Linked DNA regions of Alligator mississippiensis. The protein of the gene in region 1 purifies or fractionates together with the protein of each later gene. This does not show direct contact. Links are inferred from orthologs where the notes say so. Each region holds a gene or a part of one and is shown in the gene's direction. Other genes may lie near its edges. The genes, in order: EIF3F, PRRC2B and EIF4B.

Region 1 (9,880 bases):
GCAGGCCCACTTGTGTGTAACCACTATGTCAATTGCAGTGAGACCAGAGAGCCCCAGGAAAGCAGCTTCCTGGAGCATTCTGGTCTTGCTTAAACTGACACAGTGGTGAGCCCACTCTGCCTGGTGGGAGCAGTGAGCAAGTCCTAGTGAGGATAGTCAGAGCAGGTTTTTCATCCTACTATGTGACTACTCCACAAAGCTGAACAACACTAAGTGGATTAAAATTTGTTCATCTTATAGCGTAAGGTCTAACAAGGCCAAAAGTAGCTACAGCAAGCAAGGGGAGGGGCAGGGGAAGGAAATGGGAGGGGATGTGCTGCTGAGCACAAGGGGAAAGGAAGGGGGGATCTTACCTGCTTTGGGAACTTTAAGTCACCAGAGGCTCCAGCAGCACAGTCTCATCCAAAAGATGGGTGTAGCCATGCCACTATACCCTGTCTGGATTCACCCCTAATCCCTGCCTTCTGTCTTTTTCAAGGTTTAGGCTCAAGTATTTGTGGCCACAACTGTATACTGCCTAATCAGTGGGTACCCTCCTGCACACGCTCAGTAGCTGTAAGTGCATGCACAAGGGATCACCAGGGATAGGCAAGGTCACAAGGGATAGCTAGGTTAGTCTGATTGAACCCCAGCAGCCAGAACAGGATTGCCTTCACAGATTAGGAAAATGAAGAGATAACTCCAATTAAAGCTAGCAGCAGAACTTCAAAGAACTCTAAGTTCTAATACCCATGTTCTATTCTAAGCACTAGACATACATTGTTGTATAGATAAATGGCTGAGCCACTATAAAAAAGCAATGGGAATGTGTTCTATGGCAGAAAACATATGTCTGGATAATTAGTGCCATTGTGCTCAAATAGTGCTATATGTGCTCTTTGTTCCTCTGTGCCACTGTAATTTTTTTTTGAGGAATGTAGAAGGTACAGTTTAAATTAATCTAACCTGCTTGCACTACTAGGAAGAATTAAGTTCTACTTCTTTCATGCCATTTCTCAAGTTATGCTTCTAATCCTTTTGGGTTATTAAAATTAAATTCTAAGCTAAGGTTGCAGTGAACTCCTTTAACGTGAGATAAAGCACTCTATCTGAACATAGACATGGACATTGAACACAGACAATGCTAAAACTGAATGTGCTCAGACTGAATATAAAAATGCACTGTCCCTGGGAATTCCCTGAGTTGTCCTGCATTTTCCAGAAAAACTAGTAAGGTGGATTCCCATGGTTTTTGGGGGGTTATTTTTTGAGAATCTAGCGGCTCCTTTCCAGCTAAGTATTACACTTTTTAACAGTTATGACTGACCTGAAACAAATACCACTGAACAATGAAAAAGTCATCCAGACCTACACCCTCTAAAAAACTTGAAGGATCCAAAATATTTGGTTAGGTAACTGTTACTGGAATTAATATTTTTTAAAAGGTTAGATTTTTCAGCATGTGCCAGTTCAATAACCTGTACTTACAAGCTTAAGATGCCAGAGATCATAATAAAAAAGCATTCCATACACTGAATTACTGAATACAACTAATTATGTCCCCAGCTAAGAAAGCACTAAGTGAGGTACAGATTAGGTATTACTGTGAACCACTTCTTGTTTTTTTTTAATGTTGAAAATCTATCATTTCTTCAGTGTGTTATCACTCCTCCTCCTGCTTCATTTTTTGTGAAATGTTTAAAATGTGTAAATGTGAAAGAAATGTGTAGAATTCAGTCTCTTCTACTTCAGTGAATGTTGTCACAACACAGTGATTTTGGTGCCTCAGCACTATGGAATTTTCTTGTCACATGAGAGCCTCTTGCACAGCGAAGGTTTTTGCTACCATTAAACCTCGTCTGCCTCTCCATTCACCAGCCCGCCCTGACGAACGAGCAATTTCTAAATCACCTCGGGTCGGCTCCAGCTGTCCGAGACAAATGTATCTGTCTCCCCCACTGTGATAGCATTAATACATTTCTCTCTCTTTTTTTTTAATACAAGCTCTCCTTCAAAACCACTCTCTTATTTTAGCTTAGATTTAAATAGTAACTAATGAGCATATGTACTCCTTTGCATGCTCTTTTTGAGCACCTAATAATGTCTCATTCAACTCTAAGGGTAAGGGACACACAAAGGCCCCAAGGTAAGCTGGTCTGTGAACCTGCAGCATGTGAACTATTCTGAAATAACTCTCAATGTGAACGCTCTTATGTGGTAAATGCAAGGAAGCTAACCCTAGCTTACCTCACAGAAATGTGTTTATGTCCTCATAACCTAACCTAAGTTGAGGAAAAATAGATTTTTATGTCAATTTGGTGTGGAATTAATACAACACCTCAGTTTTTAGAGACAAATGGAATTTTACAGTAGTATTAGTCCAGCATCCCCATGCAGAATGTTGGTACTATTCTATGTTGATTATTAAAATAGACCAATAAAGTTCCATGCAAAAACAGGGAAAGGCTTAATTTTTTCTTGTTAACCTTGGTTTGAGTCAATGAGTCAATGTTATGCTGGAGGTTGAGTGGCTTCAGGCAAATGTGTGGTTGATTAATGGGTTATTTCAATCTTGGCTGATACACACCCTAGATCAGCAGTTTTCAATCTTTTAAACTCAAGTCACCCCCCCTTTGACTCGAGGCAACCCTCCATAACTTTTGTGAATTGCATTTCAAAAACTAATTTATTTATTATAGTGCAGGTTGAGGAATGGAGGTAGGAAAGTGGCCAGGGAGAGATGAGCATGGGTGTGCACTTGTTCTCTTCACACTTGCTTATCTCCTCACACCTCATAGCACCCTTGAAAACCCAGTTCTGGCACCCTTCCTTGTAAGAGAGAATTACACTTGCCCTGTTACTATGAGAAAGCTGGGGAGCAAACAGAACTGGCAAGGGCCCTCAAAAAACAGGATTTTTGTGATTCAGAGGGATGAAGACTCAAGGGTGGAAAAGAGCTGCAAGGACCAGCAAAGAAAAACTCCAGATGGCAAGCAGCAAAAAAGAGAAGAAGCAAGGTCCCTGCAATCACCATTAAACCTGGCCTGAGCAGGGGCTGAATTAAGAAGGGATTGTAGCCAAAAGGCAGGCAGCTGGCAGGGCTGCAGAGACTAATCAGCAACCCCTGTGCTCAGACTGGATGATGGGTCTGGCTGGCTGGAAAGGGAGAAGCTTGGAGGAGAATAAAAGGCTTGTCCTCAGACTAGAGAGGGTACTCTGATCCTGGCTGGGAAATAAGTGAAGCTTCTAAATAGACTATGGTGGTACCTGGAGGTACAGTAAAAGGGGCCTTGATGGGTAAGGGTTAAGAGGTTTTCTTTGTTTTGGTTTTTTTCCTCTTCAATATTTTTCCCCCAAGTGGACCAAGGAAGGATAAGGATTTAAGTTCACGTGCATTTTGGTTGTGAATACCTGAAGGAGCGATGGGTTTTGTTGGATTTAAGCTAGCAAACACTGGATGACCAAGAGCAGCTGTAAAAAGAGGAGGCCACACTGTAGGTGCCGTAAAGCACCCTGTGAGTTTAACCCCCTACATGCAAAAAGGTCATAAAAAAACTTAACCAGTGAGGCCAGAAGGCTGGGAGAAGTCTAGAACCTGCACTGTCAGGCTTAGTCCCAGCTGTACAGCTACTGTTGAGAAACCAAGACTAGAATAAGTGGAAGAGGGCCAGGCTTGTCAACTGCTGGGTGTTACTACTATCTGGAAGGTCTAGTCTTATCATAGCCCCTTTGCTTAGAATGGCCAAAACAATAGGAAAGAAAAGTAGTTAGCCATATTTAGGCTGGAGTCAGGCAAAAGGCAGGGTAGATTAGAACTATATAGACTAACTACATCAGGGATGTATAGCATAAGCAATGGCTTTTGAAATGAACTTCTGTTTATGAAAGCTTATGTTATGCACCTCTGACTTGGTCTATAAGGTGTAAACTCACTCTAATTTGTGCAAAACAATAGAAGCCCCTGCATGTACATTTGGATAGCGTTCCAGATTTAACCATGGCTAGCTGTGTAGGCTGACTGACTTGAATGAAAGTCAGGAGTCAGCAGAAGCATTGATGGCTGACCATGAAACAAAGCAAAAAAATGAATCTTGTCAGTTTTGTGCTACTTGGAAAGATAGTTGTTTCATCCCACCACATTCAAGAAAATGGGACACAGGGGGGCACATGCCCCCTGAGACTGGCCACTGCCAAAGCTGCCACAGGCTTCTGTAGGTCATTACTGCCCCTCCCCTCGCTGCTGACATGGTGGCTGTAGGAGGTCACCACTCGCTGCTGCAGCCAGTGTAGACGATGGCTGTGGGCAATTGTTGCTCACCACTGGTAACAGAGCAAACAGCAGCTCCCCACTCGTGCCCTTCCCCCCCCTCCCCCAAAACAAACCCCTCCCCACCAGTGGCAGCAGGGGAAGGAATTAACAGTCCTGTGCAATTAACCCCCACATCTCCCTCCCTTGGAGGAAAAAAACTATTCCCAGTAAGGATATTGATCCAAATAAGGGGATTTATTTTACTTCCAATGCAATGAAAGGTACTTTTTTACCCTAATGCAGCATAGGGAGATTTTGCTCCCAGAAATAAGTTCATGGTACAGGGAGGTAACACCATATAGCGATGATACTCCAACTGCAAGTTAGCACAGCAGTCTGTGTAATAACTTATGGTGAAAGCAGATGTTGAAGAGAAAGTATGTAAGAACAAAGATAGAAAGGTCAATGGGGTCGCTATCAAAATCAGAGGCTGGACACCAGAGCTTGGAGCATGAAGCGCTCATACGGCCTGGTGTTAGTTACCATGGAGGTGCAGAGTTGTGACTAAGAAGTGGTTTCCATTTAGTCTTTGGGCAGGAGAAGATTTCACCTGCACTCGTACCCCATCCACGAGGTATGTGAGCCTTGACTCGCTGCACAGACGGGGCACGCTCAACGCTCAGGAAAGGTACCTCTGCTAGTGCCAGGTAGCCTTCCCAGTACTTTCGCTGACAGGGCGGAACGGCGCTGCTTACGAGCCGCTCTGTCCAAGCAGCAAGGAAGAAAGGCTACGTGGGTGACAGGGTCAGTGGCCGGGGCGCGGGAAACCGGCTCGCTCTGCTGCTCCCCGGGAGATGCCGGGACTGCAAGTGACAGGCTCCCCCGAGGCGTGGCCTAGCGCGCCTGCGCAGACGGCCGAAGCTTCCCTGCCGTATGTCCCTGGAACCACCGGGCGCCCAGGCCCCACCGGCTCAACCCGCGGGCAGCCAATGAGCGAGCATTGACACAGCCGGGCGAGCGATAGGTTTAGTCACCAGCCAATCGAAAAGCTTAGGACGCCGAGAAGGCGGGCACAAGCGTGGCAGACCGACCCAATCCACGGTCTCGTGCCTCCTCTGCCGTCCTGAGGTTGGTTTGCGGCTGGGGTAGGCGGGAACTCGTCCTCCTCCTGCCCAATGAGAAGTCACCATAGAATGACGGGCGTCTGATTGAGCCCGTTATCGCCGGCGCGGTACTGCCCACCCCTCTCTGCAAAATGGCGGCGGTAGCTCCGGCGGCAGATCCGGCTACGGCGCTAGCGCCTGTCCCGGCCGCGGCCCCGGCGCCCGTCCCATCAGCCCCGGCGCCCGCCCCGGCAGTAGCGACGCCAGCAGGAGGCGCCGCCCCGACGGCGGCGGCCCCGGTAGCCGTGCCGCCCGCTCCGCCCCCGCCCCCGCTGTCAGCGGTGCTGGGCGGCCCCTTCCCCGGCGGCCGCGTGGTCCGGCTGCACCCAGTCGTGCTCGCCTCCATCGTGGACAGCTTCGAGCGGCGCAACGAGGGCGCGGCCCGGGTCATCGGCACCCTGCTGGGTAAGAGCCCGCCGGCCCGGCCCCGCGTCCTCGCCCCCGCCGGGGGCCTGCCCCGCTCCGCCCCGCCCCCCTCACCCCGCTCTCTGCCTTGCAGGCATGGTGGACAAACACTCCGTGGAGGTCACCAACTGCTTCTCCGTCCCCCACAACGAGTCCGAGGATGAGGTAGGTCTGGGTCCAGGACTCCAGCTCCCGGCTCCCTGGTCCAGCTCAGCTGCATGAGCCCCCAGCCCTGCCGCAGAGCTGTGGTGGGACAGGGCCGGGAGCAGAGGTGCCCCAGGACACCCCGGAGAGCTCTGGAGAAGGTGCTAGTTACCCCTGGTGCAAAGTACTTGGTTGCCGTGGCTGGGAGTAGGGGAAGGCAGCTGGCACCTAGGGGCTTTATGGGCTAATACAGATGGCTGATTGTTAACAAGCTGTATCGCTGCTACCGATCCAATTGCTGGTATGCTCTCTGGTAGCCTGGAGAGCAGTGTCTGGCTGGTAAGTCTGTTGGGGGGAAGGGGCATGGGGGGGGTGCAGATCAAGGCCCCCCACGGTAAGGGAGGGAGTGGGGCTGAGGCTGGGGCAGGCACTGCCCAGCCAAGGTGGAGTGCAGGACAGAGCCAGGGGGTGCGAGGTGAGCACAGGCTGGGGCCAGGGGCAGTGCTGGGCTCTTCCCAACACAGGGAGTTGGGCTGGAGCTGCTCTTGGGGCAGGCAGGGGTGGGGTGGGTGACCACAGCACTGGGAGAGGGAGTTTGGGGTGGGTTGTGACCACGCTGGAATTTGCCATAGCTACCCCATAACTCCCCAACCCCCACCGGGAAGAATCCAGCACCACCCCTGGGTCCAGCCTGCAGCAGCAGCCCACTCACCCTGTGCACAAATAAGGGGGGCTCATGTCCCCATGCCTCCCCCCAGGGGTGCGCACTGTGATGAGCCGCTCCCCACCTTCCTTGGAAGAGCCGTTTGCAGCTCTGTCCCGCACCCTGCCTGTTCTGGGTAGTGCCTGCCCCAGCCCCACTCCCCACCTCACCGCAGGGGCCTTGATTTGCGCATGCACCCACCTCCTCCCCCCAGCAACTTACCAGCCAAACTACAATATGGACCAGTGTACTGGTGTATCTCTGCTGGGAGTGCTACTTTGGAACATGCTGTTCTCTCTGTTGTGGGGGTCCTGACTCTGCCCTGTCCCCCATCTGTGCATGCACCTGGAGCATTTGGACTCCTGAGCAGGCTGGGGAGTGCCCAGTGGTGATGTAGAGTTGCATTAACAGGCCCTGGTGGCAAGTCTGTCCCTTAGTTTGATCACTGCACCACAGTATTTGCTCTACTAGGTCTGGTCTGGTAAATACCAAGAGATGGGACTCTTCTGTGAGGTGTGGCTGTTATCGTCATCCCTTCCACCTCCATTAAGCTGCCTTCGTTGCTCTTTGCTCAAATGGAAGTGCTCCTGCAGCTGGCAGCTTCATGCTTTTTGCTCTTTTTTAGGTTGCAGTTGATATGGAGTTTGCCAAGAATATGTACGAGCTGCACAAGAAGGTTTCTCCCAGTGAAATCATCTTGGGGTGGTAAGTGGTCATCCTGTACTCTCTTGCTTGTGTCTCTGGTATCTGGGGTTCCAAAGTGGTCACCCATCCCAATACTAGTCAAGTTCAGGACTCCTTAGCTTAAAGCTTCAGACAAAAATCTGCATTCAGTGTAGCATAGCTGCTGCACAAACCTATTAAACTTCTTGAAACAAAAGCCAATTTGCTGGTTAGCTGGTTGCAGAAGTGCTAGCTGTTAGCTTAAAAGCAAATATTGTTAACATGTATTAAATTTTGAGTGTGAAATAACTTTTTTTCAGTTACTTTTTCAGGAAATGTAGTTGGTATAGTATTCTAATTACTATTGTAGTGTTTTGAAGAAGTTGGTTTTCTGGCTGTATATGAATGGTAATAAAACTTTCCTTTCCCCATGGTGGAAAGTTCTTAGACCTCTTGCCTAAGCCTGCTGAAGGGAGAGAATGAAGTACATCTTTGACATTGTTGTCTGTGTAAGAAAGGATGGGTGTGTGTTTAGGGGTCTGTGTTTAGGATAGGGGTGGGCAAAATATGGCCCGTGAGCCGGATGCAGCCTGTGAGGCCATTCTATCCGGCCCGTGGGGCCCCTAAAAAATTTAGAAAATTAATATTTATCTGCCCTTGGTTCTTGCCAAAAATGACAGGAACCAAGTGCAGTAGGACCCAGGGGAAGCCTGGTGGGCTCTCACAACAGCAGGGTCAGCTCAGCCCCACCCCCTGAGCTGGAAGCCCCAGTTGGGGCTTCTGGCCTGGGACCACATGGTTGCCCCCGTGGTGCTGGAATCTCAGGTAAGGGAGGGGAGGGGGGGGCAGGCAAGGAGCCTGGGGAAAAGCTGTGCTGGGGAGGAGGGAAATGAGTGGCTCCTCCTCCACCCCATGGCTGGTGCCCTGCGCTGCAGCTACTCCCAGCCCGCTTGGGGCTGCCTGTGCCTGCCCCGGACAGCCCCGCAGGCTGCGAGCGCCAGCTACAGGGTGGGTAAGGGGCTGCTTCCCTTCACGCTCAGCACCTCCTTGTAATCCAGCCCCACTGCCAGCCTGGGTCCCACGCCGGCTCTGGGCTCACCCATCGGGGCTACGTGTGGTGATGTCAGCTGTGGCCCCCCCTGCTTGCCACGCCAGCCAGTGTTTGCCACCGCCGCCTGTGGGCTGCTCAGTGTGTGCCCAGGCGGGCAATAGCAGCCAACACTGCCTGGCGTGGCCAGCAGGGAGGCTGCAGCTGCCAACAGGCAAGTCCAGAGCCGGCGCAGAGCCCAGGCTGGCAGCGGGGCTGGGTTACAAGCTGGTGCTGAGTGCGGGGGGAAAAGCGGCCCCTCACTTGCCCCGTAGCCAGCGCTCCATGCTGTAACTGCTTGCAGCCCATGTGGGGCTGCCTGTGTCTGCTCCAGACAGCCCCACGTGGGCTGCGAGCACCTGCAGCAGGGAGTGCCAGCCATGGGGCGGGCGAGGGGCTGCTTTTCCCTGCACTCATCACCAGCTTCTTCCCTGCCAGCAAGCAGGGGGTCAGAGCTTTGTGCTGCCCCCCACCTGTACTGAGGGGCACTGAGAGTGAGCGGGTGTGGGAGCCAGCAGGAACGCAGGGCCCAGAGCAGGGTGTCAGGAGCGTGGGGCCCCAGCCAGCAGGGGCTCTATGGAGCCAGGACAGTTTTCCCTTCTCCCTGCTGGTGCAGCCCAGTTCAGCTCCACAGACCCCTGCCAGCCTGTGCCCTGCTTTGGGCCCCGCTGCTGCTGGCCCTGGGACATTGGTCCCAAGACATAGGGGCATTGGTCCTAAGATGGTGACCAGGGGCTGGGGCACCTGTCAAGGGGCGGGCCTACCTATGCAGCCCTCAACAGCCTGCCAAAACTGGGTAAGTGGCCCTCCGCCCAAAATAATTGCCTGCCCCTGGTTTAGGACATGGTGCTAGTGATTTGAAACCACTGCGTCAGTAGATAAGTGGCAAGATATACGTATAGTATCTGGGCAGGTTTGCCAGAGGAATGACATGGACATCTGTAATAGTCTGGCTTAAACAAAGAGATTTAAGATGAGATTGTCATGTGGAAGTTTGGAAGAGTTCAAGGTGTAGCTTTTTAAAATGGCCAATACCTATTCTGGCAAAAATATGCATTGGAATAAGTTTCAACCACCAGCAGAAGGTGGGAAAAATAAAACAAGTCTAAATCAGGTGGGTCAAAATTGTTTGGTCCCTTGGGCCAGATCCAGACCCACCTCCAGCAGCGCTGTGAGCCATGTCCAGGAGCCATGGAAGTTAACTCAGGCGTTACTCAGCCTGTTGAACTGCATCCCCAGTGGAGCTCTGTACTGCTGAATTTGACTGTGGGCTCCAGGAGCCCTGCAAACCAGGTGACATGGCTCCATGGGCCACACCCTTGTTTAAATGCTATGGTGACTCCAAAATGAAAGATTTGAAAGCAGTTTTACTAATTCCTAACTTTCTTTATTGTTCTTTGTGATGCTGCTGCTGCTTAGTTATGTATTGCTGTTCCCCCTTTTTGATCAAACATCTTTGGATCATTGCACAAGTTTTGGAGTCACAG
Region 2 (10,314 bases), on another chromosome or scaffold:
GACAAGGACAGAATAAACTGAGAAGGGAAACCCCAAATCACGGCTTGGACTAAGGGACTATGTTTGTGTTAGGGAAGGGTAGAGGGTGGGTGCACGTGGGTGCAGGGGAGCGGGCGCGGTTATTGTAACGGGTGTGTGGGTTTCTTAAGGTGGTTTTAAAAAAAAGTGTGATGGAAGTCTATGATAGAGGATGCATATATATAACTATATAGATATAGATATATTTTAATTAAAAAACAAGCTGCCCATGAAACTAGGGGTGACAGTAGACATTTTCACCATTCTGACGGTGCCTGGTTCTGAATAAAGCGGCAGTCAGTAATACTGAAATCTTAAGAGGGTCCTGGAAATTGGGGTGCAAGGCCAAACAGCAATGAACTGAGCGAGTGGAGAGTTCACCGGGGTCTATGGAGTTGATCTCACTAGCAGCAGGGCTCGTGTCGGTCCTGGTAATTATACGGCAACAGATACCTTCCTGCTGATCAGGAGCAGCTTGGGAAATGGCCCTGTCTTGGTCTGCTTACTGTACAACCTGTTTCTATCCCACAAGCTACCCACGCTGTTGCAGGGGTGTCTGTGACATGTTTGAGTGCTGTATGCTGGGAACAGATGGATGAGCAATGGGTTTGAGTGCTGTGGCTGAAGGATCTGCATGTCATCGGTGGATGTGCTATTATCTTTTGCTTGTTTATTTCACCTCCGTGCACTCGGCGCTGGGGCTTCTTTTAATTGGCACTTAAATTCCCTGGCCTTGGAATGTTTCCTTGGAGATGCACAGAGAAACTTTGGAGAACTGCTTATTAAAGCAACGTGTTTGTGAACCTGAGTGTGTTTGGTGCAGCCTGCATGAGCCCCTCCTAAGCCCTGTGTTACAGGTGGCTCCTGTTGCAATCACCAAGCCATGGGTCTAGAAGTGGGGGGGCAGCTGCATCTGATGTTATCAAGTTTCTGGTTTCATAATGGAGCCTTAGTATGGTATGATCGCTAAGGTCTGCTCCTTTACTTGTCGGAGTCCAGAATGGCGCAGGCTGCAAGTAGGAGGAGATGTGGATTTAGGGGCAATCTCATGGTGTTAAGAGGGGTGCAGCAGGTTGCTCCTAGCTAGGTAGAAGCAACCATGTGGCAGCACTGTCATTACTGCAGTAGAGCATTATCCTGAGCTCCCTGGCATGTTGATATGCATGTAATATTCTGTACTTGTGATGGGCAGGATGAAGCTCTCCAAGCAATGATATAGATATAGATATATATGTTCAGATGTGTGGCTGTTTTCCTCACCAGACCTGGAAGAAGGCTGATGAAGAGAGAAAGCACCAGACTAATGCCCTGAATCTCTCAGAGAGAACGGGTGAGTGGGAGTTGCTGATGTTAAGAAGAGGACATGATGTTCCATGTGAGCGGCTGTAAGATGAGGAATGGAGGGACTGGCCAGAGGTCCTGTTGAGGGAAGAAATGAGAAGCAAGAGAAGTGAGACGAGAGTTGGGTAGGATGGAAGGGGAATAGCTTCCTTCCAGAAAAGGAGAGAATTGGACACATAGACTGGTCGTTCTTGCTGCACTTTCTTAGTAGCTCGATACCTGGCAACTCTGATAGGTTTGCAGATCCAGCAGTGGGAATGTGACACATGGGCTAAGAAGCTGCTCTTGCATACCCTCCTCCCCTGTGTTAGCCTGCTGTTAGACCAGTCATTTCTCCCACCTGCAGAAAGACAGGTGGCCTGGTCCAAGATGTCTCTTCTGTTTGCCAGGTGGCTACCACTGCTTCTGAGACCCAGTCTATGGGACATATCCAATAACGGTGTCCACCATTGGGAGGGCGGGAGACTGAATGCTCTACTACCTTCTAATAGCCCCTGCTGATAGCCCTCCAACAAAGGCTCCTCTTTCTTTATTTCAGAGTGATCAAAGTGTTTCTTCTCTATTTGGAAAAAAAATCCTAGCCTGGTTTTCTCTAGACATGTGGCTCAAAAGTGGCAGAATTTAGAAACTTCAGCACAGAAGGTGTATCCTTCCCAAGTGTGAAGAATAGCCAATATGTTATGATCAAGTCAAAGCAAATGAAACAAATCACTTCTGAGCTTTTGCAAAGAGCTCTTTAACTTACTGGTGTGTTGGCTCTTCTTTGTATCTGGATGTACACACAGCTCTCCTGGACCAAGGGCTCAGCAGGCCAAAGGTGCTGCTCTGATACTGCTTTTGGGATCGTTGGCAAGAGATGTGTTTGTTGTTGACTTGCTGATATGCACCCAGCAGATTCACCCCGTTCCAAACAGCCTACCACACTCCCTTGGTGTCAGGAAAAAGGGAAAATTGTGGAGGTAAGGAAATGCTGGATCCTGAGATCGACTATGCATCATTCTGTTTTCCTAGCCATGCTGTTAAAGCTGTAGGAGCAAGGGAACATTCTCACTCAAGTCTCTAATTGAGATCTTGAATGTCTCAAGTAGGTCAAAATTTCCCCAAGTGACTTGTGATTTGACTTCTTCAGCTTTGGGGTATCTAGACAGAGGCACTGAAAGTGCTGGGCACTCTTCCCAGAAATCAGGCTTCAGGTGGGGCACAGCACCCAAAAAAATCAATGTGCCCAAGACCACCAGTTGCTTTGGAAAAGCTTGGCATAGGTCTTGTAGGATGCTTAGCCTGCTTTCCTCTTGCCAAGGAACTGCATAGCCCCGTACTAGTAGGTGTTACAGGGAGATAGGAAATTCTCTCTGCAAAGCCCCTGAAACACTTTGGAAGAACAGTGCAAAAAATGTGAGTTCTCTTTGAGGGGGAGAACTGCTTATTAAAGCAACATGTTTCTGAACCTGAGTGTGTTTTGGGTGCAGCCTGCATGGGCCCCTCCTAGCCCCCAAGTTACAGGTGGCTCTTGTAGCAATCGCCAAGCCATGGATCTAGGAGATGCATCTGATGTTACAAAGTTTTTGGTTTCATAATGGGGCCTTAGTATGGTATGATCACTAAGGTCTGCTCCTTTACTTGTCGGAGTCCAGAATGGTGCAGGCTGCAAGTAGGAGGAGATGTAGATTTAGGGGCAATCTCATGGTGTAGCTAACCAAAGGGATGTCCAGAAAGCTTTGGACGTCATTAAGTTGATGGTAGCAGTGTAACACACAGACACTAATCGCTGAGCAGTTCAGAAGCTGGGCTTTGGAGCCAATACTCCAGTTGCATTTTTGGTGTGAATTTCTTATTAAGAATGTAGTTAACATCATGTTAAACTCAAACCCTTCTCACCTCCCGCCTGCCTGCATCATGTTTCTTTGGATAGCTGCTCCCTCTGTATGGCTAGATGCCTTCTGCTAATACAGTTTCTCAGGGCAGGGACGTCACCAGTATTCTGCTGCATCCATTTCTATGTATCGTTTAAGAGAAAAGAAATTAAATATAGTGGTTTCAGATTGAAACCCTTCCAAAGGGCAATTCCTTTTGGCTGTCTTTGGACTCCCTGATTACAAAACCAAGGGAGGATCATGAGTGAGGCTTTAAATAGTGTAGAGACATGGCAGGAGAAAAAAAGGCTTTGCATTTAACAGCAGGTTAATCACCGCAGCCCAGATCTAGCAGGCAGGTATCAGTGTCATAGGACCCCTACCATAGCTGTCCTTACTCAGACTCTTTGCTGGTAGTCCTAGCAAAGGGGTGAATTCAACAGCCCGTGGGAGCCAAATTTGGAACAGCGTTTTCACTGGTGCATGGTAGGCAGCCTGGGGAGGAAACCTGGTATTTGTGCTCTATCTTCTTTCCAACAAATCCCAGCCAGTTGCATCTCCTTGGCTTCTTGAACTGTCTCCCTCTGCCTTTCATAATCCCAGAGCCTGAGTCTGCACGCTGTCTCCAAACGCTGTCCGCGGGCACCACCGAGCAGAAAATAAACCTGCTTGGCTTTCTTGTTGTTTGATGTTTGACGCCCTTCATGACTTGTTTTGGTGCTCCTAGACAGAGGGTTGGAAGTCAGGCGAAGGTTAGGGAACTGGAAACAAGAAAGGAAATGATAATAAAGACCTCAGAAACCTTCAGATGAGGCATTGGGCAGCGACTGTTTGTTAGACTGGGAACGGAGTGAATGCTTAGAAAGAAACCTTTCAGAGACACTGCTGTTCAAAGCTTGCTGGAGCCAACGAGAAGATTGCTAGGGTGCAATGCAGCTTGGCATCCTCAGCACCCAGCTGGATCACTGCAAAGCTCAGGCGAGAGTTAGATACCTGGAGGCAAAGGTGGATCACTTCTGAGCTGCCCAGGTGCTCACGTATGTTTGCCTAAGGAGCTTAGCAGCCCAAACCGGAGATGTTGCCTGACCTCGGATGCCTATTGAGTTTTGAGGCTTGTGGGGAAAAGCTAAACAGCATTGCAGTTGGCATATAAGGTGCCCGGAGTCTGGCTAAGTCTACTTTAGGCATTTCCAGGACCAAACTGGATCGCATCCCTATTGACTCCAATGGGCTGTGGGTCAAGGCTTCTGTCAGTCAGCATCTCCTCTCCTCCCTCTTTCCCTTCCTTAACTTCTTCTCAACTCTCACCCCCTACCTGCCTGCAATGAGAAACTGGAAAATCAGATGTCCGCTTGGCAGCTCCTTGAGCAGATCTGCCCAGTCCCAGCTTGTTTCCCCACATTATATTTCCCTCCCTTCATTCACACTGAGAAAAGATCTGCCAGACTTGAAAGGGAACAAACTGGCAAAGGGCCTGGGGGCTTGGCTCTCCAGGCTGCTGGCTGCCCCCTTTGCTGCCATGCCCATGCCAATCCTGGTGTGTGTGCCCCGACTATCCTGGCTGCCCCCAAGCCCCTGAGTTTCTGGGAGCCCCTGAGACCTTGGGATTTAGCAGCTCTGCACTTCCCCCATCTCTCCTTCTCTTTGCTCTTTCTCTTCCTTTTTGTCTCTCAAACACACCTGCATTTCCTGGGCTCACAGACTCATAGAAAAGGAGGGTGGGAAGGGCCCTCAGGAGGTCACATCTAGTCCAGTGTTTCTCAACCTGTGGGTCGTGACCCAAAAGTGGGTTGCAAGAATATATGAAAGAGGTATGAACAAACTTTAAAAATGGATTCTCTTTGAGAGGAGAAACACATGGGAAACTGTGGCTTTTCCCTTGCAGGCTGGCAGAGTTCCCCCTGCCCCATACACCCACCCATTGCCCCACACCCTGGGAGCTGGGGCTTGGAGACAGGGGGCAGCGTCGGGTGGCCATCATAGAGGACATTCTGGTTTTCAGAGATTTCTAGCCACCCTCCTGCCCTGCCACTACCACCGCCGTGCCCCCCGGCTCCAGGGGGCACGCGGCATTCACCCACCAGTCCAACCCCCTGCTCAAAGTAGGACCAGCCCCAACCAACTCATCCCAGCCAAGTGCCTCTGCCTGGCTCTTCAAACCCCCTATGCATGGAGAGCCCACCCCTGCCTGGGGACACTGTCCCAGCGCTTCCCCACCTTCCTAGCCAGAAAGTTGTCCTTAGCATCCAACCTAAACCTCCTTTGCTGCAGCTGGAGCCCTTTATGGCTCCTTGTTCTGCACGCCCAGCTGCATCCCCCCCGCTTCAGGAGGGCTGCAGGGACCCCCATCCCCTCTTCCCCGCAGGAGCCGAGCGCGCCGCCTTCCCCGGGCGCCCTGCAGGGGGCGCTGCGCGGCGGCGCGGCCCGGGGAGGGGGAGGGGCAGACACAGGCAGCGAGAAGCCGTCTCGCCAGGCTCCCGCCGCCGCCGCCGCGCAATCCGCAGCCATCCTGCGCCCCGAGCCCCCATCGCCCCTCCTGACTCGGCTCCCCAGGCACAGCCGGCTCCCCCCCACCACCACAGGTGGGTATCGGGGCCGGGGCGCGCGGCTGGCGGGGGCTATCGGGGGAGATCGGGGCTGGGGGGGGTGGGACGAGGCGGCTCTAAAATGGAGCCCGAATCCGAGGCTGCAGAGAGCCGGCCTTGGCCCGCCCCCTCCCCCATACCCTGCCTGGTTGCTGCCCCCAGGGGCAGAGCCGGGGTGCAAGCCCCTTTGGGGCTGCCACCAGTCTGGGGGCTCCCCCGCCCCAAGAGATTTGGGCACCTCCTCCCTGCAGCTGGGCAGCCTGCATTTCTGCTCCCCCCAGCCCAGCAGCCAGGGGGGCTGGAGAGGGGGGGCAGAGGGGGTTGACCCCCCTCCACCCCTGCAAGGCAAGGGTTTTTTGTTGGGGGGGGGGTTGTATTTTTTTTAAATTTTGGGGCTGAGTTGCACCCTTCGGGTGTCGAGCGTCTTCCCCCAAGACCCATTGTTTTGGTTGTGCGCCCAGGTCCTGGGAGGCCGGCGCCGTGCCCCCGGGTTTGCTGCTGTGGGTGGAGGGCTGCGCCGTGCAAAATGCTGTATTGTTTTTGTAGGGCATCCCCCCACAAAACAATAAATGCTGCGTTGCAACAAGAAGTCCAGGCTCGGGAAGCCCAGGGCTGTTGAGGGCATTGTTAAAGTCGGTCGGGGCGGATGGGGAAGCCGCCGGGGCAGGTTGTTTCTCCCTGCAGCACGCAGGAGATGTTTTGGGTGCGATGGGGGCATTTCAACAAAGCCTTTGGAGGGGGCGCTTGGGGAGAGGCGGTTCGGAGGCCGCTCGGGGGGCGGTTTTGGGGTCCCGATGCTTTTCGGTAGATACAGCCAGGCTTTGTTTTTAAGCTATTTTTGGCCCCAGGAAGGAATTCATCACCCCCTGGGCTGGGGTCACCTGCGCTGGAAAGGCTGCGGGTCCTGGGATGGCAACGCATGTTGTTGTTTTGGGGGGTTTTTTTTCCCCCTGCACATCTGATGAGAGTTGGCGGCTGTTGTTTTTTTTTGTTTAGCGGAGCTGGGCGTAATGGGCAGCGATGGCAAACGCTCCCCCCACGCTGCTGCCGCCTCCCCCAAACCCGGTCGAAGCCAGGTTTGCACAGACACGAGCGCTGAATTTTGCCGTGAAAGTTTTGGCTCCGAGGCAGAGAAATGGCGAGGGAGGATCCGCGTTTGCTGGAGCAATGCTTACAATGGAGCCTTTTTGTTTTAATGCTGCCTGGGTTTGGAGGGGGTGGGGAGAAAACAGGCCTGCAGGAGAGCCCTGGTCCTTAGAGCGATCCTTTCCGGAGAGGGGTATTGACTCTGCAGGTTGTTGCAGGCCCTTTGCTTTGACGGACCTTACTGAAAGCTGCTGCTCACTTTACTGATTTTTTTTTTTTAAGAAGCTGATGGTTGTAGCTTAAAACTTTTATTGCAGTAGTAGCCCCCTCTTGCAAGGCACTCTTACAGAGGTCAGGAAAGACACTTGCTGCTCCCAAGAGCTGGCCTGGCACTGCTGGCTTCTAACAGACTGGCCAAATATAAAGTTGCAGGGTGTCATGTCAGGGCCTGTTTTTTCTGGGGGGCTCTGCTTGCTCGTGGCCTGTTATGGATGTGCGCTTGCTTTATGATTGCACAGCATCCTGCTTTGGACCAAGAGCCCATAGGATAAAATCGTCCAGAGGAGGGGAAGAGGGAAGTTGCGTGGGGTGGTCTCTACCTGATCCCTCAGGCTAAGTGGTTGCATGTTTTCTTCTGTGGAAACAGATTATTGAAAATAGTCCCAATTCTGCAAGGGTCTATGAACCGGCAAACTTGTTTGGAGCCGCACTGATGGTCCACGTGAGTGCTCCCAGCAGCAATGAGGCCTTAGAGATCCCTGCCCCTCTCCCTTCCCCCCCAACAGTTGGCTTAATATGTTATGAAATGATTGATAATGTGTCTTCCTTGTGACCTGTCTGAAATGCCTCTTTTTATGGGGTTGAAAAAAAGTCTTCAGCTGGATAACAGCGCGTGCTGAAGATTGGCACAGCAAAGAATTAAAAAAAAAAAAAAGAAGAAATCAAATGCAGCTCTCATCCCCTGCTGTGTGTTTGCCCCGAGTTTGGCTGGGACGTGGAAGACAAGCCAGTCTGTTTCCTTTTATTTCCTAGCCACTTTGAGCATGTGGTTGTCTGTGGTGATTCAGGAGATGCTAGCCAAATTTCAGGGCAACATTTAAACTAAAAGAAAAACATATTGGAGCAATAGATATAGGTGTGTGTGTAGACGTACAGAATAGGAGTGTGCATCTTTGTTTTGGGATGCAAAACACTTTCCTGTGTTGTCTGTAAATCGCCCCATTGTGATTTCCCATCAGTAGTTTGGGGCACTAGTGCACACGCATTTCACAAACTCCATCCAACAGCAATATCTCCACTTCTTTACTCGCACTCACTCGCACACACTTTTTTTAAGTTTCACAAACTTGGTGTCTAGCAGCAATATCTCCACTTTTTTTCCCCTTGACTCAGCAAATTTTTGTTTGGAGTTCAATCGCTCCATGTGCAATGTTGTCAAATTAAACATTGCACCATTTTGTCTAGTGCAGAAGAGCCTGAAAGTAGAACATTTTCGGCCAAACTGGTTGAAGCAGAGCAGACTGCAAAAACCGGTGAAAATGTAGGATTAAAAAAAAAAAAAAAAGTTGTAATAAATCTGAGTCATGAAAGGGAGGACTGTTTGTTTAAAGATGACTGCCTTGAGATTTGCCCCGTTCATATTAAACTTTTTTGCAAAACTTATACTTAGTGACTAATTTATTTAAGGCCATCCTCCTAGAAATCACCTGTGAAATATGAACTTTCATTTCTACCCAGGAGAACTTTTACAATCTTGTCTCCAATGCCTGATGAAGGGTGTTTGTACCTGAAAGCTTGCAATTAAAGATTTTTTTTTTTTTTGCAAAAATCTTGATGGTCTAATAAAAGAGATCATCTCTGCTATGAATCCTGATTGCCTTAAGACTTATCAAGACATTGACTTACCTGACTGGGACAATATTAAAGGCCATGTTTTACAGGGATTATCACGGTGGGCCTGATCTCTCTGGCGGCAGTGTTTGTGAGGACTGGTACAATATAAAATATAATCTCCAAGATCTCCATGTCTGGGGTGCTGGTATTTTTGTATCACTCTTGGTAAGGAGCAGGTCCTTAACTTGTGACTGTCCTTTCTGAACTGCAAGTGTTGGGCCCTGCTTTAGGATGCCATTTAGGGCCCTTTCATACACCTGAGTTTCGGAGTACCGTGCCTTTTGTTGGCTACAAAAATACCTAGTTAGGTTGTTGGGTCCTGTTTGCATTTGTGAGCTGCTCAAGGCTTTCCTTGTACTTAACTCTACAATTGGAAATACCTGGGGACCAGGAGGGGAAAGATTCACAGTGCTATTACAATATAAGAAATAAATAGTAGACTCGCTGATGGCTGCTCTTAGTACAAAGCCATCTTGCTGCTGGAAGTTTCCCCTTGTAATCGGGGCTCTTGTGACTGCCCAAGCTGAAGTTGTGGGCTCAGGAGGAACTTCTAGGAAGTCTTCAATCTGAAGCACAGGGTGGGTGGATTTTAGGCTGGCAGGAGTGAGACATCCCTGTGCCCACCCCAGGTCCTCACTGGTCAACTTCCCATTTACCCTGTTGTTTAGTAATGAAAGTTATGCTTGATCCTCGTTTTTCACTTAATTGCACCTCCAAAGTGGATTTTGCTTTTCATGTAGCATTGATTCATTTCAGGCTGGTAATTTTACAGCTCCTTATTGCTAGCCTGTCATTTGGAACAGGAAAAAGTGTGAAAGCAGGTCTTTCAGATCCTTGTTAGTGGCCACTAGAAACAACTTGGGGCTGGTGGGGGGAGCTGCATAGTTCTTCCCGAGAAAGACTAGTTTGGCTGGCTATTTAAATGAACTGACTTGGCCACAAAAAAGGCCAGGTAGAACTATTCCAGGAGAGCCCCTTCCACGGGAGGTCCATACATACCTGTAACTGCATCACAGAAGATGTTTGAGCAAAGGCTTTTCCCGTGGTACAAACAAAAGCCGAGGGTTAGATGTCAGCTTTTCTCATTCACTGGAACTGAACTTTGTTTCATGATGGCAAAGGACTGTCAGGATCTTCTGATACAGCATGCAGGGTCTACCACCTGGTGAGCATGCTGCTTTAGATAAGGAGATCGGCCCTTGTCGCGCCAGAGCAGAGATGAGTGAGCAGTGGGGGCTGATGTGTATGTTTTGCAACAAAATGGAGAAGGATGGTTGGTGCAAACCATTTTTCCTCCCACTCAGAATCCCATAATATCCCCATGGTGGTGTCTCGCATGGAAATGACACAGCAGGAAAAACAGTGTAATTTTTCAGTGTGTATTTTCATAAGCAGCTGCTAAATATAACGCATGACAAAAAGCATGTGAAATACAATTGTTGACTAGTCCGCATGGACTGATGCTGCCTCACCAAAACCGTAAGTATCAGAACTGGTTACCTAGAGAGGTCGTGGGTTCAACAGCCTGGGAGATTTTC
Region 3 (9,719 bases), on another chromosome or scaffold:
CTGGGATAAGCATATCGAGCAGCTTCCCATTCGAAGAGGCAGCAAAAGGGTGATCCGATCCCACTCTGGAAGGACCCACGTGGCCAAGAGATCACAAAGCTGCAACCAGATCCGGTGCTGGGAAGCTGAAGCTAGACGAACCCAGACTGGAACCCAAGGACTGACTGGTAACTGGGCGGGCAACTGAGCTGACCAGGACGGCTTATTGGGGCGGTTCTCCATTCCCGGTGGTGTTCACATGACAGAGCTGCTGCAATCAGCTGAGATTTGTACCCAGATTCAATGCAATCCTCAGGATTCAGAGGGCTGTTGGTGAACTCCATTGCTCATGGTCCTGTGAGCCCTGGTCTGAAGTCAGGTAGGAGGGAGATTTATTTGCTAGACCAGGAGTGTCAAACCCATCTGGTTTTGTGGGCCAGATGAGGCCCATGGACCCTTCTCCCCCACCCACAGGCCATCTAGGACACCCATCCAGACTGGTGGTGCAGCCCAGGACCTGGCTCCCACGAGCTGCCCCACCAGGGCTGGTTCTGGGCTGCTTGCACCACCCTCTAGGGCTGGGTGCCAGGCTGCACCATTTGCTGAGGCCAGGTCTTAGGCTGCACTGCCCACACCGCCTGCTGAAACCCAGGTGGCACAGCCTAGGACCCGGCCCTGGCAGGCAGCACTGCCCCAGGACCCAGCCCTAGCAGGCTGCTGGTTCCTGGCCACACCACCTGTGCTGCTCGCTGGGGCCACGTCCCGGGCTGCACGGGCCACGCTGCTTGCTGAGGCACAGCCAGGGGCAGAGCAGCCTGGGACCTGGCCCCAGGGATCACCGCAGGCAGCGCACATCCTGGGTAATGTGCCAGGAGCCAGTCCGGCTCAGCAAAAGGGGTAGCACCAGGGGCCATGCCTCATGGGCCAGATCCAGGCCCCAGGCCATATGTTTGGCACCCCTGTTCATGGGTGGATCTAGACTTTTGAGAAGGAGGGTGCAGACGGTGAGGTGCATCTTCACATATAAAACATCACTTGTTTTTCTCCAGTTAAAAATAAACTAGAAGTTTTGCCAATAGGCAGGGGGCCCGGGGCTGCATTATTCAGTTTAAGATGGAAGCAAAAACAAATTGAACTTCATTGGAATGAGTTCAGAACAACCTGCAGGGCTGGGAAATAGGAGCTTCATAACCAGAAGCAGCCACAGAAAGCGGGATTGCAAGAACAGCATGACTGGTGGAAGATCAAGACCATTATAAAGAAGTGAGGGTTGTTAAGACCTGTGGATCAGGGAGATGACAATGCACCATGAAATCGGTTGACTCTCTGAGCACCGCTTGACTGGAAATGCTGCTGCCACTGCCAGACAGACCAAGCCTTGGTTGGAGCAGAGATCAAACAGGGTAGGGGGGGAATGCAAATGCATCAGTGCAGCCCCCCTGGATCCACCCCTGCCCTTGTTATAGACTGACTGAAGTCTGCACAAATTTTCGTGAGTCCAAGCAGACCCATGGCAGACCCTTCAACCACCTTGGACACCCTATTGCTGACCTGAGCATGGCTGCTTTTAGGTAGCAAACCTTTAAAAACCAATTTGAATGGGAAATTGGGGAATGAGAACTCGCCCCAGACTGGACCGGTTAAGTGTGCTTTAAACAGAGACTTCCTATCCCATGACCTGGGTTAGCTTTTGTGACCCCCTTGTTACCTGGGGTTTACTGCTTGTCTCTCCCAGCACTGCCCCCTCTCCCTCCCTCCCTGTCTTTTGTGTTCAAATCACTGTCTCCATTTGCTACCCTGCACAATGCCTGTCCTGTCACAGCATCTGATGAGGTGAGCCTGGGCTCATGAAAACTGGCACTATATAGGTAATACCTACTTTGATTAGTCTGTAAGGTGCAAGTCTACCCTGCCTCCTCCATGTGATGCTGCCATCTCGTGGCAGGAACACTGAGTGAATAGGGCAGCTCCCTGGAAGAAGCACAGGGACTGATACAGTGCAGACAGTCAAAAAGCCTGAGGCTGAATCAATTCAATCTTTGCGGGTTAGTCTAAGCTGCGTAGATTGAACCAAGAAGCAAGTGAACAGACATGCACTGTTGATTCCAGAAATGCAGCCACATGCCTGCAGTGGCCTAGGCCAGAAGCAGGGTGGGGGGCACTAAAGCATCCCTCCCTGCTCAGTTTGAGCAGACAGCTTGGGCCAAGCCCATCCACATTGTGAGGTGGGGTTTATGCAGGAGGTGCAAAGCATCCTGGGATGCTGGGGGACCATGAATTAACTTGAATTGGAGGGGATCTGGGACAGAAGTTCAATAAACTGATTTAACGAAAATCGGTTAAGTCTGATACCACATCCATGCAGGTTTAAACCAGTTTCAGCCATTTCTGAAAGCGGCTTATGTGCATGAACTTCTGTTGTGTTACAGATTTGAACCAGTTTCCAATCCTCTATACCAGCTTATATGTAAATTCTGTTCCTAGCCTATCGACCACCTCCTATGGCTCTGCTCGTACACCAAGGAGGTGTAGAAGCAGCTCTGTGAAGCAGTGACTGGTTGGACAGCTGTCAAGAGAGGTGGCACTGTACCGACACCTAACTAAACACCAAGGGCGCCCATCAGCCCGCTTCGATCAGTTTGTGTCCTGCGTCAGGAGCGCCCTGTGGAAATGCAGGAACATCCTGATGTACAGACACACAAACCTCGAAGTGGTAGACTGCGTTAAAATGGCTTTGAGCAAACTTCAGTCCTACTACCAGAAATTGGTAGCAGAAGACATAGCCAAATCCGCCTGGCAGAGGGACACTCGGCATAGGATCTTTCAAGACCTCCCCAGTGGGAAAACAGACAGTGACAGAGAAGAGGACATCAAGACAACAGGATCAGAAGATAGCAATGAGGGCAGCAGCAGTGACAGCAGCAGCAGGTCCTCCAGCAGAAGCAACAGCGAGTGAACTGAGTTTTAAACCCTGTATTCAGGGACAGGACTAAGAGACAAGGGTTTAAGAGAGAAGATGCCTTGCAGTCGGGTGTACGGGAGCACTATCCTATGGGTGCAGTATATTGTAATGGTTGCGCGGTACCTATGGTGGGTTAAGGAGACAATGATCAGTGACTAGAAGGTGTGTGTGTGTATGTAGATAGATAGATAGATAGATAGATAGATATAAAACCTTTATTATATACAAGACACATATTTTTACCAAAAAAATAATGTTGTCCCTACCCATAGTGACTAGTGAGTAGTTGGAGGTATTCTCCTATGGCTGTCTGTCCTCCTCCATCCACAGGTCCCCGGGGGGTATACGAAAGGGCTGTCCAGGCTGTCTCCGATGCACCAGTCAGGCAGCATCAGCACAACAGGCTCCCTTTCCATGGCCTAAAACAGTGATTCTCAACCAGGGTGTCTTCAGATCCTTTCAAGGGTGCTGCGGGGTGCCATGCAGTGTTAGATGTTCAAACGTGATTCATAAGATGAACCCAGAAATTTAAAATGGGAATTCATAGCATTAAAACCTGTTGTAGTCTCTCTGTTCTTTGCAATGGAAGAATTGCTTTTTTTTTTTGTAGCCAAAAAGCGAGTGAGAACCAGAGCTGCCATCCTCGGAGGGGTGCCTTGAGTCTAATGAGGGGTGGCATGAGTCTAACAAGGTTGACAACCGGCGCCCTAGAGGAAGATATCACATATGATGATGCATATCCCAGTAACAGTGATGGGCACTTTGTGAACGCGGTGAGATGTCAAAGAGCTGGGAATGTAAACAGACCAGACAGGCAGGGGTTGGGGCAACACTGGAGCGAGGGAGTCATTCATGTCTCGATGCCCCCAGGGCAGTGCCCTAACTGCTACACCCTCTTGCCTCCCAATTGCTTTCATACTTGTCCATATATGCCATGAATGTCATAGCATTCATGGCATATATGGACAAGAGCATAGCATAGGCAAATGTTCCTTCCCTATTCCCAGTCCTCGCCCGTGCCTGGAAGATCATCCCTATAGAAAACACCAGCCTCATTTAATCTGCTGGATTATGGGATTATGGCATTTGGGACAGAAAATAACACTTCTTCATTAATATTTTCCACCTACGTACACTGTATCATCATCTCGAAGTATTTCAGTGTGCATCCTAGCCCATTTATCATCATTAACTTTGTTCTTAACCCCATTTTACAGCAAGTCTGGCCCAAAACCAAGAAGGGAGTCGCTGCGAACAGAACGCAGAACAGCCCTGTCCCGTCTCCCTCCTTCAATTGACGTGTGATCACCCCTTATTGCATCCCAGTTTGTTCGGGATAAATCTGCAGCCAGAAAAGGGGCTGATAGAGGTTATTTCTTTCAAAAGAGGACGGGGGTCTTGGACATTGCCAGCTCCTTTAAGGCAGATGGCGAGAACCCGGCGGCGTGCAGCGTTCTGCAGCGGTTGGGCCGAGATGGGGCTGTCCCTTAGCAAAAACCGGACGGCGCCCGGGCATGGGGGACCCGGCCAGAAACCGGGGACCAGGGAAGCAAGGATTACGTGGCTTCCCTCTCACCTCTGCATAGGTAAGGGGGGCCGAATCCAAGAGACAGGCTTCCTTGGGATGGGAGGGATCGGGGAGGCCGGGACGCCTGGGTTCTAGTCCCGTGTAGTCTCAAGGCAATTACACATCGCCCTGCCTCAGTTTCCCCATTCGTAATAATGGGTGCACGAGAAGAGTCAAGCTTGTGTTGCCAGCAGTAATAGTAAGCACAGTCTGGAGAAGTGGGGCCTTTGGAGACTCTTGCTCATAAATAAAAAACGGGGTTGGGCATCTCACGGATGCTCGGGAACAGCGGGCCCACTCCCTGCTGGCATCGAAAGCCCTCATTTTGGGCTGTCATGGTCCAGCCATGAGCTAAGCAGGGCTGGCTGGGCCCGTAGGAAGGTGGAGAGCTGCACACCACAGAGGGGGCCAAATTTGCTTCCAAGCCAGCTGTGAAGCGTCACCCCAGCACCGTGCGGCTCTGCCCCTGAAGCCCCAGTGCGGTGCCAGGGGCAGGGCAGGAGTCGTGCTGCAGCCGGGGCTGCTTTTCGGACGAGGGGTAAAAAACTGTCACGTCCCCTGGCAGCCGATCCCATTCTGCCGGCCATCAGGGGCTGTGGGAAGACTCCCGGTGCCTTGGGGAAGCATTAGCCTTGCCCCCGGGGGATGACCCTTCGCTTCCCGTCCTAAACGGCCGGGCAAAAGCAGGCGAATGTGCCTCCTCCGCAGTGCCAGGAGCTCCACGCTGCACCCCGCGCGGCGCCACGGGCCAACACGGCGTCAGCGAGCCAAGATACGTAGGTCGGCCTGACCGTGCCACAGCGATGCGGCACGCTCGGACGGGGAACGCGGGGCTGGCAAAGCTGAATCCCTGCCCCGCCACCTCCGCTGGCCCAGGAAAGCCACAGCGGGCAGGGGCACGACTGTAGCGGTCCAGTGTGACCGGACTGGTTGCACTGGTGCAGTGAGCCCAGGGTCCGGCAGCCCCCACCCCAGAGCTGGCTGCAGCGCCCTGGGCTCCAGCTGCCCCCTTCCCCCCCTAAACTGCCCCTGGCTGCTCTACTGCCCCCAATCATACCCCTCCCATCCCCAAACTGCTCCTGGCTGCTCTACTGCCCCCATAGCCCTCTCCCCCCCAAAACTGCCCCAGCTGCTCTACTGCCCCCAATCACAGGCCCCCTCCAAACTGCAGTACTGCCCCCAGTCATCCCCAATAACTGCCCTCTGGTGCAATTAGCTGCCCCCTCTCCCAAGATGCCAGGGGAGGGGGGGGGAGGCAGAGAACCCGGCGCGGGCGGCGACGCCAAGCCGAACCCCGCGCCCTCCCTGCCTCTTTGCTGCCCGCCCGCAGCGCGCAGCGCCGCCCGCCTGCCGCGCCCCACAGAGCCGCCGCGCCGAGCCGAGCCGAGGCCCCGCCCCGCGGGCGGGCGGGCGCGCCGCTATAGTCACGTGACGGCCGCATCCGGGTCCTTTGCCTTCTCTGCCTCGGCCCAACATGGCGGCGTCAGGTGAGTGCGGCTCGGCCGCCGCGGCCCAAGGCCCGCGCCCGCCGCCCTACCGGCCCCGCGCCCGGGGGGGGCCCAGCCCCGCGGCCCCCCTTCCCCCCCACACACCCTCGGGGCCGCATCCCCTTCTCCCGGAACGGTTTGGGCTGGCGCCGCGGCCGGTGATTGACGGGGGGGAGGGGGGGCGGAACCCTTGGGCGCGCACTGCGCAGGCGCGGGAGGGGGAGGGGGCGGTGGAGGAGCGGCGCCCACGTGGGCGCGGCCGGGCCCCGCCCCCCCCCGCGTGGCCTGGCCTCGTGGCACCCCGGACCACCCCCCCCCATGTGCACCCCCCCACCGGTCCTCCTTGGTCTCGGGGCCTCCCGTCCCCCCTGCCCCATGCTGGGAGGTCTGCGGGGGTTATCCAAAAAAAACCCCAACCCCTTGAAAAGGTCCCTCAGGGCTGGGAGAGCCTGGAGTCGGCCAAAATAGCCAGTCGCATCTTTGTCCCACGATCTCCTACGCACCATCGGCTTTCACGCTTCCTGGCACTGAGTTTGCACTGCGAAGCGCGGGGTCTACGAAGGTGTCGGGGTCACGCTGCAGCTACCTCGTCTGAGCCCCTCTTATTTTTATATTTTTTTGGAAGAAGAAGAAACTCTCTTGTATCCCTCCCCCCCCCCCAATTGCAGTTTCCCGCTGCATAAGGCTCCCCTGATGTCATTTCATTCGGCGCCCCGAAGAGAAGTGGCAGAGCACGCGTGCTTTGCATTGTGTTTCTTGTGCGCAAGGTGGAACCGGCGCAGGGGAATGACGCTGGGGGCGGGGGGGGGGGGAGTCGAGGCATCAGTGCAACGGATAGGGCCGTTCTCTTCCTTCCCTCAACTGCTGCTAGCGCTCTTTCCCTTTCTGGCCAAAGCGCACGACGTTTTTACTGCAGAAACATTGCTCTCGCTATGTGACGGCAATATCCGGGCGCGTGGATCCAAAGTGCGATTTGCCGGCACTAAAACACCCTTCAGTTCACAGGCGTCATCTGGAGTTCGTGCTGCCAGCGGAACTGTAGAGTCCCATATTTCCTAGCTAACAGCAGAGGCAGGAGATGCACCTCCCTTTTCCCTTGGTGCCTGCACAGGCGTGTTTATAGCTGATCACAGTGTGCGTGTGCATTGGTGGGACCGTCAGAGCAGAAGCTGAAGCCAAACCCAGCCATTAGCTAAAGATCAAGAGGGAAAGGAGAGAGAGAGAGAGAGAAAAAAAGCTCTCGGGGCCCAAAAGCCATGGGCTTAGTATATTGTACGAGTACTGTCATATGGGTCTAGCTGAACCCGGAATATTATTCTCAGGCTTGCTTGGGAAAACTTCATGGGGTGAGTAAAAAATATGTTGCTAGCTTTTCCATTGCTATAGTGAAAGATGAGCATTAGGTTTTATTCCTACTTGGGTCAAGTTGCTCAGTAATTCCTGAATGAGCACTGATAAAAACAGCCCTATGTTTTTGGAAATGCAGGGTGCTCGTAGCAAGTGCCTCTACATCTCGGCGGGAATGGCAGTGTCAAGGAGGTATGGTTGTTGGAGATAACAGTGGGGGAAGTCCAAGGAGGATTTCATTTGACCCATCTCCTTTATCCTTAAGCGTAGATGTTAAGGAAACATCCTGGAAGGGCTTGGCCCTCACAAGATAAATGGGGAGTGGTTGAGAGATGGCTGCCTCCTTGATAGGAGCAAAGAGGATGTTGGCTGTCAGAAAGCCTCACCTGCCTAGGAGGGCTGCTTCTGTCCAGTACCTTTCCTTGCCTTGGTCTCTCCCAGCCCCTACAAGGTTGTGACAGCTTTGGTGATGCATAAGCAGTGCACAGCCTCCTGCAACAGAAGTTGCTTCATACTGTTCCTCTCCTGCCTGTGACTTGTCAGCCATTTGATGCAAATTGAACAAACAGCCAGCCTGCAGGGTTTCTGGAAAGGCGGCTGCTAGTTAGCAGCCCATTTGCCAGGGTTTAGAAAGCCATCTCCGGCACTCGTAGGTCTGGGTGGGAAGGAGGGGGTGTCTGAGCGTGGAACGCACCTTTTAGCTTCTCTTTTCCAGCTGCACTTGCCTGCAGCAGGAGGGTTCTTCAGCTTCCTTTCTCAAGGCAGGCACTGCAGTAGGTCACTGCTGCTGATCAGCCAGTTTTTATCCACTGCTGACGTCATATTTCCATGAGTTTACCCTTGGCAAACTGAACTTTAACCATTCCAGAGGGCTAGCCTGCTCTTCCTTCCCAGCTCTTGGAGGCTGCAGCGCTTTACCGGTGCCTAGATTCCCCGAGAGATGCACCTTTCTAAAAAAAAGCTCTTGCAGCCCCTGTTTGTATTTCTTCAGCAGAGGCTTCCCCATGGCATCCTGGATTGGTGGAACTGCTGCTCCCCAGAGCCTTTTGCAGGAAGGGGAGGCACTTGAGACCATTGCAGTTTTTCTCCTTCACCTTAAGCCAGCTCTTAAGAACCTGGGATGTTTTTTTTCTGGAAGCCTCCAAAGCTGCAGAGTGGGGGCAGCATGTGGCTTCTATGCGACTTCCTTAATGTTCTGCGACTGAAGCAGCTAATGCATCCGCTGAAAACTCCTGAATCTTGCCCCAGGTTGGACATTTCAGTCTGATTTATTTTTAGCTTCATTCATGCAACCAGCAAGACTTCTTAGCAATGCTTGCCATGCTAATGTGTTGCAGGAACTGGGAAGGTAGCAGCAAGGCAGGAAAGATGCTTGGTTTTTCTTTTTTCAGTGCAATAGGAAGATTCTGCCTATACAGTTTGGAGGGGAAAGAAGCATCTAAAGGACTGAATTGTTGCAGAGTCGCACAGACTATAAAGGTGGTTGTTATTTTTACAAATTCTTTATGCCTTAAGCTGATATTGTAAGTGAACTTTGAAACTGCTCCAGCAACAGTGCTTGTGCAGATGTGTAAGGGCCCAACTGCAAGTCCTGTAACTCCCATAGTCGAGAGCTGTCCGTAGATGCCTCTTGCCAATACAGGGCTCACCTGGATGGCCTGAGTGCTATTGAAGGGCTCCTGAGAAGTCCTGGCCACTTCTCTGCTGCATGATGGAGTAAAATGGGCTTGCAGAGTGCCCTGGGAGAACTTCCTGCAGGTGAATACCCTGGCATGTGGCTCTTAACAGCACTGAGTCTTTGCTTTCCTCTTGGCCAAGGGAATTGTGGCCTCTCCACTGGAGCCCACCGCTAGAACACAACTTGGGGGCTGGAAGAACTGTACGGCTCCCAGTTCTTGTTTTCCAGACCTCTGGTCTTACTGCTTGTGTTTCAAGGTATTTGATGCACACACACCCCCCCCTTCACTCTCCCCCCAGCCTCGCCATGAAGTTGCAGTGCTGAATGTGTGATTTCACAATTGCTTCCATGGCAACTGACTGAGATAGTAAAAACCCAGGATCATTGGACTTAATTACTGGCTTTAAACTCTGGGGTAGGGGGGGAAGGACAAGCGGTTCAAACAACTGTCATGTATCTTTGTCTAGGACCTGCCCAGTTACCATGCAGGCAGCTGCGGAAAGTAAGTATACTGAACTGAAGTTGCTGCTTTTGAACCCTCTGTCTGACTTCAACACATCTGGTTCCAGGAACTGCCCTTCCAGTTGCCAGAGCATTGCAGGCGGAGGTCTTCTGTCACGTGAAAGGCAATTTAGCTTAAAAGACAGTATTCGCTTTCCGCTGCTGACACTAGCGGAGGTATCCTTGCCACTGAAGTGC

The links.
Region 2: the proteins of EIF3F (region 1) and PRRC2B purify together in Homo sapiens (affinity purification with mass spectrometry; 3 studies listed by BioGRID and IntAct, counting the BioPlex papers as one, with this or other methods). This does not show direct contact. The link is inferred for Alligator mississippiensis from reciprocal best matches to the Homo sapiens genes EIF3F and PRRC2B.
Region 3: the proteins of EIF3F (region 1) and EIF4B purify together in Homo sapiens (affinity purification with mass spectrometry; 3 studies listed by BioGRID). This does not show direct contact. The link is inferred for Alligator mississippiensis from reciprocal best matches to the Homo sapiens genes EIF3F and EIF4B.

The regions. Positions count from the first base shown.
Region 1 is NC_081829.1:25,033,656-25,043,535, forward strand, and holds the start of EIF3F (eukaryotic translation initiation factor 3 subunit F), read left to right. Parts: upstream 1-5,468; 5' UTR 5,469-5,483; coding exon 5,484-5,796; intron 5,797-5,890; coding exon 5,891-5,961; intron 5,962-7,268; coding exon 7,269-7,348; intron 7,349-9,880. UniProt on the Homo sapiens protein: Component of the eukaryotic translation initiation factor 3 (eIF-3) complex, which is required for several steps in the initiation of protein synthesis.
Region 2 is NC_081835.1:59,688,339-59,698,652, forward strand, and holds the start of PRRC2B (protein PRRC2B), read left to right. Parts: upstream 1-5,643; 5' UTR 5,644-5,794; intron 5,795-10,314.
Region 3 is NC_081838.1:9,389,578-9,399,296, reverse strand, and holds the start of EIF4B (eukaryotic translation initiation factor 4B), read left to right. Parts: upstream 1-5,915; 5' UTR 5,916-5,982; coding exon of another isoform or gene 5,983-5,995; intron 5,996-8,716; exon of another isoform or gene 8,717-8,733; 5' UTR 8,734-8,821; intron 8,822-9,487; 5' UTR 9,488-9,503; coding exon 9,504-9,522; intron 9,523-9,719. UniProt on the Homo sapiens protein: Required for the binding of mRNA to ribosomes. Functions in close association with EIF4-F and EIF4-A. Binds near the 5'-terminal cap of mRNA in presence of EIF-4F and ATP.